Canis lupus familiaris: one gene and its partner. The protein of the gene in region 1 interacts with the protein of each later gene in a pairwise test. Links are inferred from orthologs where the notes say so. Each region holds a gene or a part of one and is shown on either strand. Other genes may lie near its edges.

The links.
Region 2: the proteins of TOLLIP (region 1) and ODAM interact in a two-hybrid assay, tested with the Homo sapiens proteins (2 studies listed by BioGRID and IntAct). The two-hybrid records come from large-scale screens. The link is inferred for Canis lupus familiaris from reciprocal best matches to the Homo sapiens genes TOLLIP and ODAM.

The regions. Positions count from the first base shown.
Region 1 is NC_049239.1:46,015,996-46,020,443, forward strand, and holds part of TOLLIP (toll-interacting protein), read right to left. Parts: intron 1,037-4,448; coding exon 887-1,036; intron 1-886. UniProt on the Homo sapiens protein: Component of the signaling pathway of IL-1 and Toll-like receptors. Inhibits cell activation by microbial products. Recruits IRAK1 to the IL-1 receptor complex. Inhibits IRAK1 phosphorylation and kinase activity.
Region 2 is NC_049234.1:60,647,624-60,652,171, reverse strand, and holds the start of ODAM (odontogenic ameloblast-associated protein precursor), read right to left. Parts: upstream 3,397-4,548; 5' UTR 3,378-3,396; coding exon 3,327-3,377; intron 3,238-3,326; coding exon 3,196-3,237; intron 2,380-3,195; coding exon 2,332-2,379; intron 1,784-2,331; coding exon 1,550-1,783; intron 691-1,549; coding exon 643-690; intron 1-642. UniProt on the Homo sapiens protein: Tooth-associated epithelia protein that probably plays a role in odontogenesis, the complex process that results in the initiation and generation of the tooth. May be incorporated in the enamel matrix at the end of mineralization process.

The sequences.
Region 1 (4,448 bases):
CACACTACTGGACATCCAGAAAGAAGCCTTATGGGCCATGGTGTGGGCACTCCCATGTGAGCAGAGTGGAGGCTGGCCTGGGTGGGGGGCAGGGAGGGGGGCCAGGGGCCTGACCGCAGGGTGCTCCATCAGCAGGAACTACCAGGGAGGTACATGCCAGGGGAGGCAGGCCAAGTAGCATGTTGGGGCCCCAACGGACTGGGGGAGAAAGGCTTATCAAAGGAAGTGGGAAGCCAGGGCCACACCAAGAGGCCCAGCAGGCAAAAGAGGGCTGTTTTGGGTCCCTGGGACTGGTGCCACAAGGGCCTGGGAGGACCACGTGGAGGGTAAAGAGTGGCCACTCCTGTGGGCACATGAGAGGGCAGTTTCAGAACATGTGAGTATCTGAGGTGACCCTATCACCCCCGAGAGTGTGGCCAGGTGTCTGGGATGCAGTCACCTTAAAACCCACAGTATTCGTGAGGCCTGACTGCAACTCTGTCTGCCTTCAGTGACTCCCCTTCGTGGTTTTACGGAAAGTTGTGGTGACCAAAACCACTTTAGATCCTAACAGTGCCTCTGGCTTTCCTAGCGGTCTGTTCAGCAGCCAGGCCCTCCCCTTGTGCCCCCACCTCCCCCACAGTCAGGAGGGTCAGGCAGGGCATCCCTACACAGGCTGGCACAGAGCACGTACCCATAAACATTCCTCACTGATTATTTTTGCTATTTCTGGTAGAAGCCTGGGTATTCATCAGTATCTTTTACGCGTATGTTTCAAAAAAAAAGAAAAAAAGAGAGAGAGAGAGAAAACCCATTTATTCACACAGACAATGTGGCCCAGCAGCCACAGCCCGGAGAGCAAGCAGCACTCAGGGCCACCCCTTCCCCGGGGAGGCCCAACACCCACCTGCACCACGGTGATGCTGAGGCGGCCCACTGTGCCCACTGCCCCTCCATACTGCAGCTGCTGGGCTGCCTGTGCGTCCAGCTGCACCTGCTGCTGCGCTGCCGTGGGTGTGATGCGGAGGAAGTCCTGCGGGAGCTCACCAACGTACACCTTCGGGGAGAACACAGGTGCATTAGTGGGGGGCTCAGTCACTGCATCTACGGTGGGAGAGGCCCACGGGGCCAAGGTCTCCAGCCCAAGCACCATGAAACACAACGCTGCCATCCAGCAAGGAGCCCTCTCACTCAATAGATGCAAAAAAGCAAAGCGGGCTTCTGCTCTGCCCACTGACAGCAGGTTCTCAAGCTCAGAACGGCTCCTTGACAGTCTCTTGGGCTGCACTCAGGTGTCACACGCCCTCTGCCTACATGTCCACCATCTGCTTTTCCTGCTGCCACCAGGACAAACCAGGCCTGTGAGCTGCAAGGCACTCATTCAAACCAGCAGTGAGATGAAATCAGAAAGTTGGGTCTCCAGGTACATGGAAGCTCCCCCCGCCCCACCATGCTGACACACTCGAAAACCTCCATCTGAAACAGCTCAAACTCAAAAATAACAGCCCAGAAGACAAAAAGGAAAGACGAGCAACAAGAAGCCCCAAAGACCTCCTCCTCCTGCCTCTTGCTGAATCCCTTGTCCACAAGGCTGCCTGGCTTCTCAAAGAAGGGGTGGAGACGCACTGGAGGGTGGACTGCACAGAGGCCCCCAGGGTTCCAAGAAGCCAGTCTTCCAGGAAAAGGCAGTGGCTAAGGGGAGTGGACTGCCACACGTGGCAGTGGCCCTGGACAAGGCTTCCCCCACACAGATGAGCAGAGAGGGCAGCTGTGTCCCCAGGCCAGCAGAGCGCGGACCCGCAGTGTCTGATGCCCGGACAGCCTGCCCTCCGCTCTTTCCCAGGCAGGGTAGGTTTGGGGTGTGGAGGGCCACAGTGTAAGGACTGACGCAGTCCCACAGGAGGGAGCAGCAGAGCTATGGCGCAGGCCCAGTGCTGCCCACAGGGCTCCCGGGTCTCCTCCACTGCTCCAGAGTACATCACCACAGACTCTGGCCGAGAGCCTTGAAGGAATGTTATTTTCAGGACATGCCAGAGGGAAAAGAAAACCCCCACGAGTCATAGTGAGTTGTGACAAAGTGCATTTACTGACAGTGGCCAACAGAGACTGCTTCAGATATCCAGGTGCCAAATATCCTAAGGCCTCTATAGCTGTGGTTCTGGACCTCCAGATGACACAGATCTGGGAGGATTCCAAAAGGTTCCATACCCGCTGAGCTCACAAGCACCACTGGGAAAGCATTTCTCCATAAGCATCTTGTGCTGTTTCATTTCAAACATCCCTAGAAAGGTCTAGGTTCCTGTCTTCGTGTCCCCATCTCAGGCTGGAGATCGCCCAAGCCAGGCACCGAAACAGGTGGAGACCCACTCGGGTCTCCAGGCCCAGGGGCTGTCTGTCCCCAGCCACTCCCTTCCTTGGCACCCATCAGCTTGGTGCTCCAGCTGCTTCCCTCTGCAAAGCAAGAGCACACTTCTTCCTCTCGGGTTGGGATGTATGGGAGTGACCTCCGCGCCTGGCGAGGAGAGCATCTTGCACCTTCTCCACGTCTGGAGTGGGGCAGCCCCGGTGGGCCCACAGGAGCCCTGAGAACTCATTACAGCCTGAGGGGAAAGCAGGGGCACCCAGGTGGTGCAGGGTTGCCAGGTGAGGAGCGTGCTGCCTCCCTGGGGGCCTCTCAGGCTGCACACCCTCCCAGAGGGCTGAGATGCTGTGGCTGGCCTGGGGGCTACCAGACCCACACCCATCACCAGCTGCTATGGGCAAATGGGAACCGCACTCCCAGCCAGAGCTCTTCCCAGCGGACACGGGGCCAGACGCTGCCATGCCAACTGGTCACAGTCCTCCCAACCTCCACTGGGGCCGCGGCAAGCTTGCCTGTTCCTGTGAATGTAATCTGGCAGACACAGACTCATGTTAACCAAATGCAGAAGATTAGTGCACACAGACCAAATTCTCATTTATTCTGAAAAATAACTACCCACCCATACCACGTACTGCAGTCCTGAGGAGTGAGGAGTGCAGGCAATGGGCTGTGCCCTTGATCCCTTGTCCTGGGATCAAGCCTTGCCATCAGACCCCTCACTCAGTGCTGAGTCTGCTTGGGATTCTCTCTCCCTCTGCACTTCCCCTTGCACTCACTTGTGCTCTCTCAAATAAATCTTAAAAAAAAAAAAATTCAAACATCTAATGTTCAACAAGATCTTAACTATAAACATGGAACGATTTTTACAACAGAAGTTAACTATGCCATGCAAACAAAACACAGAAGGGATAGAAGGTGAGTCCCCTGGCCAGCGCCAGCACTAACAGGCTAGGGGACACTAGGTTCCTGAAAAGGCGCAAGGAGGATAATGTGCCCTGGGGTCTTCTTCTCACCTGAGGAACAAGCTACAAAATCCCTGACTGGCAGTCCTCAGATGGTCAAGGTCCCCCAAAACAGAGGAAGTCTGAGATGGTCCCAGAGTGCAGGTCACTAAGAATCCACTGCCACTCCATGCCATGTAGGGTTCGGGGTGGAACTCCAGGACAGAAGGGACACTGAGGCAAACACAGGGCAGCCAGATAAAACCTGGAGCGAGTAGTCACGTAGCAAAGCCAGGTCTCCAGTTATAATAAACGTCTGTTGGGGATGCACACAAGATACAAACACACTGGAGCTCTCTGAACTGTTCATAACTGTTCCATAACTCTAAAGTTCAAAGTTTATTAGAAAAAAACTTCAACTTAACTAAAAAAAAGAAGAAAGAAGACGGAAACAGCATTTCAGTTCTGACGAAATACCACCCTCTTGGTGATGCAACCAGCACCCCGCTGCCCCGGGAGCTGCCAGACAGGTCTGTCCGCTGCTACAACCCCAGAGACTTGCAACTCGAAGGAGCTCGTCCAAGTGCGCCAGTTCCCACACCTTAAGTCAGTGCTGCTGACAAAGCCAGTCCACGTCAGATGTTACAGAGTCCAGGTGCCAACACAAACCCCACCACCTCAGAGACTGGCCGGGAAAGGGTGTGGTGAACACTTGGCTTACAGACGTAAAGGAAAAATCCAGAGCTAATCCTAAAATTTTTATGTTTGCCATATTATCACAGAGGAAAAGTCTGAATTGTAACATCAGCATACATGCTTTATCCTGGCCCAAAGACCAGAGAAGAATGGTTAATCTTGATTACAGATAAATCGTGAATATTCTAAACTGTTATCTGGCTCACACTTACAAGATGGACACACTGAGTCCAAAACTGGCTGTCAGCTGCACACTGGGCAGGGGGCCCTCTGGGCCTGTCACTGTCCGCACAAGGAGCATCGTCACACATTTCTCCTCGCCGCTGCTCATGGAACTGTTACACCACAGACACTCTGGATAAGTTCATATCCTGTACACCGACCTGCACTCTGCGTACAAATAGCACTCTTCAGCTAACACAGGATTAGAACCAAGCTCCTAGGGGCACCCAGGTGGTTCCAGGTCACAA
Region 2 (4,548 bases), on another chromosome or scaffold:
AGGGTTTTCCATTTTACTCTCATGATCACACTAGTTGGAATTCATTTTTTCAGGTCTCTTATTTAATGGAAATCACCACCATTTGATTGTAATATGAAATTAAATTGAAAATGTAAAAGAACCTGGAAATGTTTTGAGCAGAATGCTCTAACTACCAAATAATGTGGCAAGTGTTTCATACCTCCATCATATTTTATCAGTTTAATGCATCTCCCTTTGAAAGAAATGTAGGGTGGGGCAAAGTCAGCTCATGGTATTTCTCTTGAGTTTCCAAATGCCAGTACAAATGTCATGCAAAGGGACCATGACTTACAGCTTAGTGAGCTCTTAATTCCCAATGCAGTCATGCTTCAGAAACTCAGGGGTTCTGGGGACTCTCCTTAGCTGTCCTTTCTTCAGGAGTTATTAAGTGAGCCTAACATTAACAAAGTGATGCCAGCCTCGCAATAGCAGTTTTAGACAGTGATAATTATGATTATGATATAATTATGATAATAGTTTTCATAGCTGTGCTATAGGAGTCAGAGATAAAATATAAAAGAAAGCATTGGATAGTATACATATTCTCAAATATAAAAGAAAGCATTAGATAGTATATATAGCCATCTTTTCTGTAGGAGTGATAGTATTCTATTCATTTACCTGTGCTTGTTCTTGAGGCATTTTGAAGGAGAACACATAGGGCATAACCTGCCAAAAAAGGCATAAAAAATTATACTTGACTTTGTTTTTTGAGAGAGAGAATGAGAGTGCCCAAGCACATGGAGAGGGAGAGAATATCCTTTTTTTTTTTTTTTTTTAAGATTTTATTTATTTATTCATGAGAGACAGAGAGAGAGGGAGAGGGAGAGGGAGAGAGAGAGAGAGAGAGAGAGAGAGAGAGGCAGAGACACAGGCAAAGGGAGAATCAGGCTCCATGCAGGGACCCTGATATGGGACTGGATCCCGGGACTCCAGAATGATGCCCTGGGCTGAAGGCAGGTGCCAAACCGCTGAGCCACCCAGGGATCCCCAGGGAGAGAGTATCTTAGCTGGCTACACCCTCAGCACAGAGTTCCACACATGGACCTCACGACCCTAAGATCAACCTAAGCTGAAATCAAGAGTTGGATGCCTAACTGGCTGAGACACCCAGACACCCCAGTTATATTTGACCTTTTAACATAAAATTCCAGAGCTTTTTCTTACACCTAGCCATACACATTTATAATTTTTATTAAAGACTTTTATGACAACGAAGGTTATCTATTATATGTATATCATTAATGTAAATTGTTTCTTCTTTAAAGATTAAATTTCCCTAATTATCTTTTCTAAGACATATTTTTAACACTTTTGATTTGTGGCTACAATAGAATAGCTGATTTAAATGGTACTTTTCATGTAGAAATCAGAAAAGATAAAGTACTTTCAGTGATGGTAGAACAAATTATGAGAATAAATTTTCTCATTAACTGTTGTCTTATTTCAAAACTGATTCCTACTCATTTTCACATCCAACATGTGTTAATTCTCCCCAGAACAACAGGATGGGAGAGGCCCAACTTACATGATTAGGGCTCTGCTGGGTCTGTGGTGGTGTTTGAGGCTGTGAGGGGTCCTGCTGTCCCACCTGGGTTCCTTGGGCAAAACTAACCCGTCCTGGGAAAGGTGTTTGGTTTGGGAACAGTCCAGCAAACCGATCAAGAGCTGATAAAGAGAATTGCGAGAGCCCTGGAATTTGAGCTTGCTGCTGCTGTTGTAGAATCCCAGAGAAAGGAGGAATCCATGAGTTAAATGGGCCCTGGAAGGACATAACAGAAAGGAAGCATTTATCTTTCATTTCAAAAAGAATTTAAAATCAGTCCTGAGGAAGAAAAATCCAAAATGAAATAATTTCTGTAATCCCATTGCTGCCTTATAAAAAAGGACAGCATCTTAGCGCATATGAGCTGTGCAAATAGCACGAACAATGCTAAATTCCCAGTGGTCATAAAAAATATGGGGCAGAATCAAGTGGATAACGAGTGTGCTTTCTGCAGTTGCCAGACTGGTTTTAAATATATATATTTTTTAACAGCTGAGTATGACTTTGTATAAATAGTTCATTTAACTGTCTCACAGTTGTGAGAATTTGTGCCTGGCACTTAGCAAGTTTTCAATAAATAAATGTTAATCAGATTACAGCGTTTACTTTTGTTTTCAAACAAATGGTCATTAGAATATATGGGATAAATCTATAACCTTAAAAATGGAAATTTCAGAAATGAAATCAGGAAACATTTTGTTCTCTACAAAGTACTGTAAGAAGTAAGCAGTTGACAGATATTCTTAAAATAATTATCAAGGTACCTGAAATGGTAGTGGCTGAAGTTGAGCATTATTAAGATTCAGAAGTAACTGGAAAAGGAAAGATGATATGAAAACAAGATGGTTACACATGCTAAAACTATTAAGAACAAAGTTTACTACAAATATAGAACAAGCCAGGGCTGATCCATCAGTTTCCTGCTAGGGGTATTTTCTCACTAGGCTTGTATAAATTACAGTGATTAGAGATTGGAATTTAACTACCTCTCCCCTGTTGGGTCTGAGATTGCACAACTTCAGCCCATTCCAGTGGTTTAGTCAGTAATTTTTAAGCTGTTAAACACCTCTATACACCTATATTGGGTGCTCTTAGAATAAAAAGATATACGAGACACTGTCTCGGCCTTTAAAGAGTTTACAGTCACATGGGGAGCAAAATAGTATTCCAGAAATAACCTGGTATACCAAATAAACATGAGCACTGGAAATGCATTTGGATGTAAGAGCTAGTGGATAGGAATGCAGGATAAATTAACAAAGGTTTTTTTTTTTTTTTTTTTTTAAAGATTTATTTATTTATTTTAGAGGGAGAGAGAGAGAGTGCTGGCATGAGGGGAGGGAGAGAGAGAAGGGAAGAGAGAATCTCAAGCAGACGCCCCACTGAGAGTGGAGTCTGAGGTGAGGCTTTATCTCATGACCCTGAGATTGTGACCTGAGCTGAAATCAAGAGTTGGATGCTTGCCTTGCTTAACGAACTGAACCACTCAGGCCCCCCTTCCCAGGTTTTAAGATTTATTTATTTGAGAGAGAGAGAGCTAGCGAATAAGTGTTTTTGTCTCTTCTGCACTGGGTTCCCTTAAAAAACAAAAACAAAATGGAGAGATTGTTGTAGGTATTGAAACTAACCTCATTGCTGTTGCTTGCAGACATAAGGCGCTGTGGGATAAGCTAAAAAATAATTAAAAAAATGAGATGGTCAAAGAGGATTTGTTAAAGGTTTCACACGATGATTTTAGTTGTACCATGAAATCACTTACTGGGGCTGACATTGTGGCTCCTAGTAGCCCAAGAAGAATTATGGTTTTCATTTTCAGATGAAATATCTAGAAAATAAGTTGTGAAATTGAGCTTTAAATAGACCCTCTATGTAAAAATCATGGTAACAATAATTCGTTGGTATTGTTCAGTCAGAAGAGTAGTTGAGTGAATTCTATAGTAAATACTTATATATTAGGATTTAAAATTAAAAAGGCAGATTTATAAATATCTGTAACAGAACCTATTCTTTTTCTCAGAGCAGCTGTTTATAAAAACCAGAATTATTTGTTTGTCCTTTTAGCTTGACCAAATGATTCATTTGGTGGTATGTGATATAGTTAAATAAGTTAATGAACAAGATGGCCTCATCCCTTGTGCTGTTCTATAGCTAAGGAAATGGGTTCTTCTGATCATGGGAGGCCCATGACTACAGTCAGTGAAATAGGTCTTTATTATGAAAACAGTTTTAATGTGTATTTAATGTAGTAGTAAAAATACTACAATAAAGATCTGACAATAGCAGTCCAATAACAGATAAAAGTTCATTTAAAAGTCTAATAACATAAAATATATTTAAACTGAGCAACTGAGTCAATATTTTTCTAACTCAGGTAAAGAGATTATAAAATGAAACTGTAATATTGATAAATAGTGCAACCTGTGGAAACATATTATCTTTTGTCCTCCAGATGTAAAAACGCCTATCCTAATTCATATTATCAATCTATATAAGCATTTAGGGTGACCTTGGTGGATTATCCTGCAGAGTTGACTGATTTGGGTTCTTAAAACTATGAAAACAAAGATTTCGATATCTTACCTCAATCCTTTGCCTAAGTAGAGAAATCTAGACCCATGCAAGATCTGCGTTCTTTTAATCTTTCAGCTCTGCTGCTTGAAGCTTCTCTTAAATTTAAAAACCCATCTTTAAAAAAGAATGACCAATCATTTTTCAAAGGGACCAGTGATTCAGTGGGTTTCAGACAATGACTTAGCTAATAACCCCTTTCCTAATCATCTAGGTGGTATAGGGATTCCCACACTTTTAGTAATATCATTACATTATCCTCTGAGAAATGTTTCCCTGTGATCATTCCTGGCTTTTGCTTCAGTTATGACTAAATCCTCTAGAATAATTTAATTCTGCTCCTTTTATTGTCCTTAAAATGAATACAGTAATAGAGTAACTTTTAAGCTTTTATTCAAGGACTAATGGTGGTT